2 linked regions of the Bombyx mori genome follow. The protein of the gene in region 1 purifies or fractionates together with the protein of each later gene. This does not show direct contact. Links are inferred from orthologs where the notes say so. Each region holds a gene or a part of one and is shown in the gene's direction. Other genes may lie near its edges.

Region 1 (5,263 bases):
GGAAGACTTTCCACCAAGCGGGCGACATTGCTCGATAGACCGACGGTCCAATACATGCTATACAACTGAAGCGGGCTGAACTGTATTAAAAACTAGCGACCCGCCCTTACTTCGCTTCGGGAACCGTAATTTATTATTGAACTTATTCTTTTACGCAAATCTGGTCCTGGTCAGTAACAAAGAAAAAATCTAATCTTTCTTCTTCTTATATTAATGGTTCACTATTTTGGCGATAATCTTCTTCTTCTATCTTCTATCTTCTATATATGTATATAAAAATGAATTGCTGTTCGTAAGTCTCGCTAAAACTCGAGAACGGCTGGACGAATTTGGCTAATTTTGGTCTTGAATCATTTGTGGAAGTCCAGAGAAGGTTTAAAAGGTAGATAAATATGCAAATGCTCGGAATGAAATAAATAAATAATAATAATAACGGTTTTTGCGGCGCACGCAAAAATAGCTCGCAAATATATATTTTTTCCTTCTTGACACTTATCGTTATATTTTGGATAATTCAAACTCTATTATTATAAATTATAGCTACAGAATCCACATCCTAAAAAAAGTTTCAAGCTTTTAGCTCTAAAAAGGACGATACTTTTTTTAATTCTTAGATGGGTTGACGAGCTCACGGCCCACCTGATGTTAAGTAGTTACCGGAGCTCATAGACAACTACAACGTAAATGCCGCCGCCTACTTTGAGACATGAGTTTTAAGGTCTCAGTATAGTTACAACGGCTGCCCCACCCTTCAAACCGAAACGCATTACTGCTTCACGGCAGAATTAGGCAGTGTGGTGGTACCTACCACCAGTCATTACGCTAATTATAATTTTGCGGGTTTGATTTTTATTACACGATGTTATTCCTTCATTGTGGAAGTAAATAACGAACATTTGTTAAGCATGTATTACTATAAAAAAATTGGTACCCGCCTGCGGGATTCGACCACGTCTTATCCTTAGGTCACGGTGACTTCATACAACTTTTCATTTCCCTCTTTCAGTCCTTTAGAACCCTTTTTTCGCAATAAAAAGTAGCCTATTATGGTAAAACAGTGTAAAACGAAAACTTATTTGTGCTTGATCTGTAGAATTTTTTATTGCAATTTTTAAACCAAATACGTTTTATCCCAAAAATCAAAATGAAATTTTTAATCCCGACAGTAAATTGGCGGACCACCATCCAAGAAGCCACCGGTAACGAACACACTCATAAGTTCATAACCCGAATTTTTTCTTACATGTGCAGTGTCATGCGATTCTTTATGAGTACTAACATACATAAATTTAATTTAAAACAAACAAAACAAAAACGATTGTAAACATAGTTTTCTAGAAAAAAGTCCTGCCAATTAAACGGTATTATTAGAAAACCACAAATATGAAATATTTTCATAGAAATACAAATTAATTTCTTTTATTTTTCTAATAAGTAGGCATTTAATAGCCAATCTAATATTAATAAAAATAAATGCGGGTAAACATAAAAAAATATTGTGAGACGACCGTAATTTATTATTTATGAACATAAATAATGTTCATTGTTCGCTAACAGCAAAATGATCACTAGTCGCTATTCGATAAATTATAATGTGATTTGACAGTTGGATGATGGAGCTGTGACGGTGTGATCGTGCGTGTGGTCGTGTGTATTTAATAAGTGTTCTGCACTCGTGTTTTTTCAATATCAACCCGTAATCGATGATTATAGATAAATCGTTAATGCGAAATTTTTTAGGACTGTACAGAGCTTTTCGCATTTAACATTCGTAGATGTCGATTATACAACATGTTGTTCGTCCTTATTGATAATTAATAATTTAAATACAATTTTATATTGCTTCGACAGAACAGTTTTTACGTGGTAGTGTTATTACACTCAATATTCATTCAAATTTCGAACTATTATTTTCATTATAATGTAAACAACCATTACAGTTTCACGTGTCCTCTTGTATGTTTACCAAGTAATGTGAGTTCGTTCGGACCACTAGGAAGCCGTAGCGAGCCGTTTTGATTTTCTACGATACGGTAGTGAGTTCGTGATCGCCCATACTAATGCAAGAGGGGGGCCAGTTGTACAGGAAACACATCCCGGAAGAATCAACATACCGTTCTCCGCAGATTATTTACGAGCTAAGATGAGAGTATAGTCTCTGCCACCCCGATAAGAATACCACGTTAAGGATGTTTTAAAATAAGTTCTCAGAGCGGTTCCTTTATGTTTGTTCTGCACGAGTTGTCAATAGGTAGCGTACGTCAGTTTCCTTTCCGCCCTCGTCACGTCCTGTCTGTAACTAAATAGAATGCGCATTAAATCATGCGATTCAGGTTCGGTTCGGTTAATGTAAACGTCTTTTTATCGGAGTCACGAAAAAAGTGCCGAAGCAGTGAATTTAACGAATGGAAATGTGCAATACGAAGATTTAAAAATTTGTCATGAAGATGGAAACCGCATTTTTCCGAAGATTGCTTAAATATATAAGGGTACTGGTTATTCTTATTACCCCGTTTATTAATTCTTGATAGATTTTTTAATTAAATAAATTAAATATTTTATTTTTGAAATAAAAGAAAATTCATTCAATTAATTGCGTCGAGCATCTGTTTCAGAGCAGCGTTTCTAATAAATAATCTAATGACATCTATAATCTATAATATGTGAAGAAAAAACTTTGTACCCATTTTTACAAAAATTGCGTGGACGGATGAGTATACCCGTAGTTATAGTTTATATATAGAGAAGGAGTGCAGAATGTGAATATTTTTTTAAAATTATGCATAAGAAATACATTAAATAAATAAATAAATAAAACATGACACACACTTACCATGTATTTGACACAACACATACATATAAATATACTATTTGTTTATTGTCAATTGTCAAAACTTTTGTTATTGCATAAAGTCTGGTCAAATTGAGAATAGATTAATATTGTTTGTCTTTAATATTATTTATCTATAGTGTAGTTTTGGCGAAACCTGTGATTATATTGTAGAAGTATAATAGTGTTTGACAATAGAACGATAATAATGTTTAAACATAAAATTTCAATTGATTATAGTCGAATTTCGACTACTGCGGGAATTTCGACCACTAATATAAGAAATAACATAATGACATTTCAAACAAAAAAACGAGATTATACCGTGAAAGTAGTTTTAATTAAATATGAAATTAACACGTAATTTGTAATTGTTGAAATGAGATACAAAATATAAAACTTTTCAGGCGACAAAAACATTTCTGAACGAGCTCAGCGAGACTGGTGCGGGGTGTGTATCACGAGCGACGGCGATCAAGTTCTTGTTGGCGCGCAAGTTCGATGTTGGGAGGGCCCACGCGCTCTGGAGGCAGCATGAGGCCACGCGTCGAAGGGAGGGACTCAACAAGTTTGAACCGTTCGAGGATCCACTTAAGTCAGAACTCGAAACCGGCAAATTTACTATACTGGTGAGTGTTCTGAGAAAGCTTTTTTTATATGCATATAGAATGGCGACGACAAAGTGAAGCAGCAAGGTTTGCCGAGAGTTATAGTTGGAAGACCATGTAAATGCAAAAAAATAATCCTTTGTTGATATTTTCTAGGCAGTAAAGAACTAGGTATTTCGTTTTTACATACCGAAACTTAAATACTTAAATAATAAGCATAGGGCCTACCTGATTATGAGTGGTTACCATCGCTCATGGATAATGCACAGATTCGTACCAATTGGCACCTGTATTGACAGACGTGTACTGTGAGGAACTGGACACAATGATGGAGAACCTCGTGAATCTCCGGTCAAAGCCATGTTAATCTCATCCCTGTTGGTTCTTACACGACAATGCTTAACCTTATACGGCACAACAGACAATCCCCAAACTGCAAGAGCTTGAGTTGGAATTTTTTTATCATTTACTGTACTCACCAAACCTTGCGCCGACAGACTTCTATTATTTTTTTAAAGTTTGGACAACTTTATTGCAAGGAAAAAAGCAATACTCGAGAGGCAGTACAAAATGCCATTGAGGAGTTTTTTGCTCCCGTACACCTGACTTCTTCAAGAATTCCAATGGAAAAATACTCTACTGCGCTGGCAGAGATGTATCGATACCACGGGTGCATATTTTAATAGAAAGATATGAAAAAAATACTAACTTTCTTTATACTAAACGGTAATTTCTTAGGTTAAGATCTATAAATATAATAATAAACACATGTAAATGTAAGTTTGCAATTCAATCATTAATAAAGCTTTATCATTTATTTAATGAAAAATTGTTTAATTCATAGCCAACCAGAGATGCGACCGGTGCTGCCATTGCCGTGTTCACAGCGAACAAACACTTCCCCTCACAGACTACGCATCAAACAACACTACAGGTTTGTATTCGAGCATTTCTTGCAAGTCCTAAAACCAAATCATCTAGACTATAAAATGCCAACGCATCTTGCCAACGGTTTCTTCGGATATACATGTAAAAAATTGGCGCGTAAGTGAACTGTGTGCTTAGTGCGAGTTTTTTAACGTTCTCGTTAGCGTAAAAGTTAGCTCATATTTGTATGGAATGGGATCGTTTGCCTACGTTTTCCGCTAGGGGTTCCTACTGCATACAAAATTGGGCTAACTTTTACGCAATCGAGAACGTTAAAAAACTCGCACTAAGCACACTGAAGCCGAGCGCGATTCGAGTAGTCGGCCCCCATCGAGCGTTCATGTAGTGTTTCCCGTTGGCGCGCTGGAAAATGTAAAGGACAATGCCCATTTTCTTTGGGCGATTGGGCCTCTAAAAAAATTTGTCGTGCCATGATGGTTTTAACCTAATTTTATAGACAAGAAATATCGTTTCATATTCAGAAAACGATTTTTATATTCTCACTCAGGTTTAAGAGAAATCTGTTTTTTTCTGCACCTAAAATTAAGGTTATGTACCTATATATACTTATATAATAGGTATTTAATTGTTTTCTTCGAAATCAATAATCGCTCTCATAATTAGTTCTGTAACTAATTATAAATAAGCTAATTGTGGTTAATGTTGCTAGAAATAAGCCCTTATGTACATTTTATTATTATTATATCATCATAATAATAATAAAATGAAGGTAGTTTCTGAGAACAGACTTCATTTTCCCTTCTTTTGGAAATTAAAATCTGGAAGCCGGCAACGATATGTTGTTGTTTTTATATTCGCCAATAACAGGCAGAGTTTAGCCTATGCAGCCTAGTCTGTCGTAGTTATATTATTTTCATGTCAATAAAAAGCCGGTATA
Region 2 (5,163 bases), on another chromosome or scaffold:
GAGTACTATTAACAAAATTAATATATAATTTTATCTTACTTTAAAAGACAGATAATGTAACTGGTAAAAAATAAAAAATAAATGTTGCAAAGATGATTAATATTAAAAATATCACATGTTAAGCCTTTAAAGCACTCTCGTGTAAAATTAGTAAGTTCTAATATTCTACAGTTTTAATGCGCGAAGACGATGTGTCATTCGGATACACAGTAGACGAATACAGATTGAATAAACCTTCTTTAATTATTTAACGAGGTTTTACATTTTACAATAATTGCAGGTTCGTAGTGAAAGACTACAACTTCACGCCCATCGTGATGTCGCCTGAATTCGAACAGCTGGAGCAGAGCTTGATGGTGGAGGTGATCAGGAGGCGGCAGCAGCCGTCGTCCAAACAGGCAGCCCCGCACGACTCTGACGATGAGATCACGGGTATATAACGAAAACAAATTTTAGCGCTTCTTAGTAATAGTTGTACTTGACGTGACGTCACTCGAATACAATATAGGCAGCGGCTTGGCTCTGCCCCGGGCATTGCTAAAGTCCATGGGCGACGGTAACCACACACCATCAGATGGGCCGTACGCTCGTCTGCCTACAAAGGCAATAAAAAAAAAGAAAAAAAAAGATTACAATTTTGATACATTTTTGGGGCTATAATAATAAATCTTACTAACGCGAGTACGCGACTGGAGCCCCATGACGTCCCTCGCGGTGATTCGGAGCGTGACCGTCGCTAGATAACAGCTGAGCCCTATCGAACCTGTGAATTAATCTTCTGAGATGAATTAATTCTTCTTAGGCATTTTTTTATTATTGTTACACCAATAAGAGTAACGCCATCTGTCACCGAATAGCCGTAACGAACATTAAAAGATCTGCTAACATCTAGAACGCTCGAGAAGTACAACGCCATCTATTGTCAGATATCGGAAGCACGCATCGAAAGTGCTCGACTTGTGAGGAATTTTCTCGACGATTCTAGAGATGTCGTATTGACTATAAAAGCGTTAGACTGCGACCGAGCACGCATACTGAACCCTCCCCAACTACCCTTCTGCATTACTTCGCTCTTGCCCTGAGTGGCAGGGAGCTTCTGCCCGGGCAGGGAGGTTTGCCCTGAAACCCGTTCCGTGTCCCCATACAAGGAAGCACGACGACTCTTCTTATCTTATTATAAAAGCGTTGCAGAGATGGCACGCAGTCAGTCAGTAATCGGAACTACTCGAAGCGAAACAGCGAACAGATCACCCGAAGCGAAGCGAAAGAAGTGAACTACGAGTTTTAAAGTGTTCTAATACAGTAGTAATTTATACTTCGATAGAATTTTATTTATCCCGAACCCCAACGCGTAACATTATTGAAGTACTACAGTAGAGCTTCCCAGTCATGAATTGATCGAAATACCGACGATGCGTTCCGCTGTCGCCTGGTTAACCTTAGTCCTTGTGTCGAGTGAGTGTGCGTTGTGCGGCAGGCACGACGCTGGAGCAGGACATGTGCGGGCTGGCGGGCGCGGGCGGCGCGGCGCTGAGCGACGTGCGGCTGCGCGCGGCGTCGCACGAGCGGCCCGCGCACCGCTCCATCCTGGCCGCGCGCGCCGCCTACTTCGAGGCCATGTTCCGCTCCTTCTCGCCGCGAGACAACATCGTCAATGTAATTGCTTACAAGTTTTTTTTTTTTTTTATTGCCTTTGTTGGCAGACGGGCATACGGCCCACCTGATGGTGAGTGGTTACCGTCGCCCATGGACTTCAGCAATGCCAGGGGTAGAGCCAAGCCGCTGCCTACCGCTTAATACTCTCCACAAGCCTCGTTTGAAGAAGGACATGTCATAGCGCTCGGGAAACACCGTGGAGGGGAGCTCATTCCATAGCCGGATGGTACGTGACAAAAAAGATCTCTGGAAACGCACTGTGGATGACCGCAGTGGCTCCAGGTAGTATGGATGAACTCTACTCCGGTGGCGAGCGGTGCGATGGTAAAAACGAGATGTTGGTATCATCTCGAACAATTCCTCAGAGCACTCCCCATGGAACATACGGTACAGAATACAGAGGGAACCGAAGTCCCTCCGCAGACCCAGATCTAATAAGAAGTTCTAATAACGTTCGAGCACAACACTATTCTACAGCTAAAACTGCTTGAACATGTTCGATCCACGCTTACTTAGATGAGTGTGCTCAGATGTTTTTCAAAATAGCTTCCACTGGCTATGTGATAGTCTGTTAACAAGATTTTTTTTCCTACCTATTCTATTTTTTTTTATTGTTTAGATGGGTGGACGAGCTCATAGCCCACCTGGTGTTAAGTGGTTACTGGAGACCATAGACTTTTTTTTTGGTACAATTTTTCCTTATTAAGAAAGGCAAGGGGATCAACCATCTAAAAGGTAAATGCGCCACCCACCTTCAGATATCAGTGCTAAGCTCTCAGTATAGTTACAACGGCTACCCCACCCTTCAAACCGAAACGCATCACTGCTTCACGGCAGAAATAGGCGGAGTAATGGTACCTATCCGTGCGGACTCCCAAGAGATCCTACCACCAGTAATAAATGCTCAGGGTTTTTTTTAATTAGCTTCCACTGGCAGTGTGATAGTCTGTGACAACGCCGCGTTTACATGCTATTAATGACGTCACAAATAAAGGCTATCATAAAAAGTTGACCAGAGCAGCGAGCTATTATTGGAAGGAAGATCTGTGCAGATAATTAAGACTATGATGCCTTTGTAATCATTCAAACACACACACGCAAAATATACTGTGTACAGAGAAACGTGCCATAGAAATATGATTTCTAATAGTTGAACTGCCATCAACCGATATTCATACATTATAATCATTAAAAAATTAAATTGTATTTTCATAATACAGATACAGATATGCGACACAATTCCGTCGGAGGCAGCGTTCGACTCTCTCCTGCGCTACATCTACTACGGCGACACGAACATGCCCACAGAAGACTCTCTATATCTCTTCCAAGCTCCCATTTATTACGGTTAGTAAGTAGCCTACACTTAAATAAGGTAAATAATTGTTGAAAGATTACACCCGCTCACCTGTCCCCAAACTAGAGTATCCGGTACTATGGAAACTAGAAATTGTAATACATACATAGATTTCAATATATACATATCATCATAATATAGATAATCTTACCGGTGTTAGGACCTCTTGTGTCTACCGTGAAGCAGTAATGTGTTTCGGTTTGAAGGGTGGGGCAGCCGTTGTAACTATACTGAGACCTTAGAACTTATATCTCAAGATGGGTAGCACATTTACGTTATTGGTGTCTATGGGCTCCAGTTACCACTTAACACCAGGCAGGCTGTGTGCTCGTCCACCCATCTAAGCAATAAAAAAAAAAAGATATTGAATAGTGAGGCAAAGAGAAAACAAGCAAAACATACTTTCTTAATTATAAATATAAATATTTAATATTATATAACTATTAAATTTATAAATAATTAATAAACTAATTAGTATAAAATTTTCTGTATTTATTTATATTTAACATTGTGTATATGCTCTATTGGTAAATAACATAGTTTATAAATTTAGAAGGCTTTAGAGGAAGAAGTAGATCTATGAATAAATGGAAGGATTGCGTGAAAGACGATATGTGTAAGATGGAAGTGAGCGAAGAAATGGTATATGATAGAGGAGTACGGAAGGAGAAGACTTGTTGCGCCGACCCCAGGTGACTGGGAGAAGGGCAGGAGAATGATGAGTGTTTATAAATTTAGAAAAAGGATCGTGGCGAATAAAATAAAACTATGTCATCATAGCACTACTACGGTCCACTTCCAAAATCTTCAAAAAAAATGCAAAAATGTTTTTTTTTTATTGCCTAGATGTGTGGACGAGCTCACAGCCCACCTGGTGTTAAGTGGTTACTGGAACCCATAGACATCTACAACGTAAATGCGCCACACACCTTGAGATAAAAGTTCTAAGGTCTCAGTATAGTAACAACGGCTGCCCCACCCTTCAAACCGAAAGAAAATAGAATAGAAATAGGCAGGGCGGTGGTACCTACCCGTCCGGACTCACAAGAGGTCCTACCACCAGTGATTACGCAAATTATAATTTTGCGGGTTTGATTTTTATTACATGATGTTATTCCTTCACCGTGGGAGTCAATCGTGAACAATTGTTAAGTACGTATTTCATTACAAAAATTGGTACCCGCCTGCGGGATTCGAACACCGATGCATCGTTATATACGAATGCACGGGACGTCTTATCCTTTAGGTCACGAAGATCCCAGGTCTCAGATGTCAGATTTTATTATAATAAAAAAATTAACTGACACTTTTTTAGGTTTTGCTCATTCAATCGTCTTCGCCATCTTGCTTTTCTCTGTCACTCTCTTTTCCCTTTCTTAGTGTTTTCTCTCACTCGTGTCTTAACGTTCCATTCCACACTCTTTTTATACGTTCCGTTCTTACCAATCTATACTAATATTATAAAGAGGAAGGATTTGTTTGTTTGTTTGTATTGAATAGGCTCCGAAACTACTGAACCGATTTGAAAAATTATTTTACTGTTTGAAAGCTACCTATTCCCGAGTGACATAGGCTATAATCTTTTTTGAAAAAAATTTGGGATCTTTGCTAAAACTCCAATATGTAACCCAAGGTATAAAAAAATTTACCTAAAATATTCTTTACATCGCGTGCCCTGCGAAAACTATTGATGACAGAATAAAAACGAGTACTACGCCTTGGTAGAACATATTACTATATTATTTACAAAAAGTATCGCGACAGCATATATACTAACTATTATAGTTATGCCGCAATAAGTGTTCTTTTATTTAAAAAATAAAACAACGTTAAAATATATCGTTGTAATTTTTGTTAAAGACCCGAGCGGAGCCGGAGCGGCCGCTAGTCCTACAATATTTGTTTATTTTAATATTTATTATCTATATTGTATTAATTGCACAGGATTCACAAACAATCGTCTCCAAGTGTTCTGCAAGCACAATCTACAGAGCAACGTGTCCCCTGAGAACGTGCTCGCCATACTGCAGGTCGCGGACAGGATGAAGGCGGCCGACATCAAAGAATACGCACTTAAAATGATCGTGCACCATTTTGGGGTTGTAAGTATCAAGTGTACAGCTGAAAATTCTATATATCGATTTACTTGA

What was found. The genes of interacting proteins can lie anywhere in the genome.
Region 2: the proteins of tyrosine-protein phosphatase non-receptor type 9 (region 1) and leucine-zipper-like transcriptional regulator 1 purify together in Homo sapiens (affinity purification with mass spectrometry; 3 studies listed by BioGRID and IntAct, with this or other methods). This does not show direct contact. The link is inferred for Bombyx mori from reciprocal best matches to the Homo sapiens genes PTPN9 and LZTR1.

What each region holds. Positions count from the first base shown.
Region 1 is NC_085127.1:4,650,911-4,656,173, forward strand, and holds the start of tyrosine-protein phosphatase non-receptor type 9, read left to right. Parts: upstream 1-2,124; 5' UTR 2,125-2,441; coding exon 2,442-2,489; intron 2,490-3,237; coding exon 3,238-3,459; intron 3,460-4,282; coding exon 4,283-4,372; intron 4,373-5,263. UniProt on the Homo sapiens protein: Protein-tyrosine phosphatase that could participate in the transfer of hydrophobic ligands or in functions of the Golgi apparatus.
Region 2 is NC_085122.1:8,827,581-8,832,743, reverse strand, and holds part of leucine-zipper-like transcriptional regulator 1, read left to right. Parts: intron 1-280; coding exon 281-432; intron 433-1,477; coding exon 1,478-1,656; intron 1,657-2,876; coding exon 2,877-3,003; intron 3,004-4,957; coding exon 4,958-5,115; intron 5,116-5,163. UniProt on the Homo sapiens protein: Substrate-specific adapter of a BCR (BTB-CUL3-RBX1) E3 ubiquitin-protein ligase complex that mediates ubiquitination of Ras (K-Ras/KRAS, N-Ras/NRAS and H-Ras/HRAS).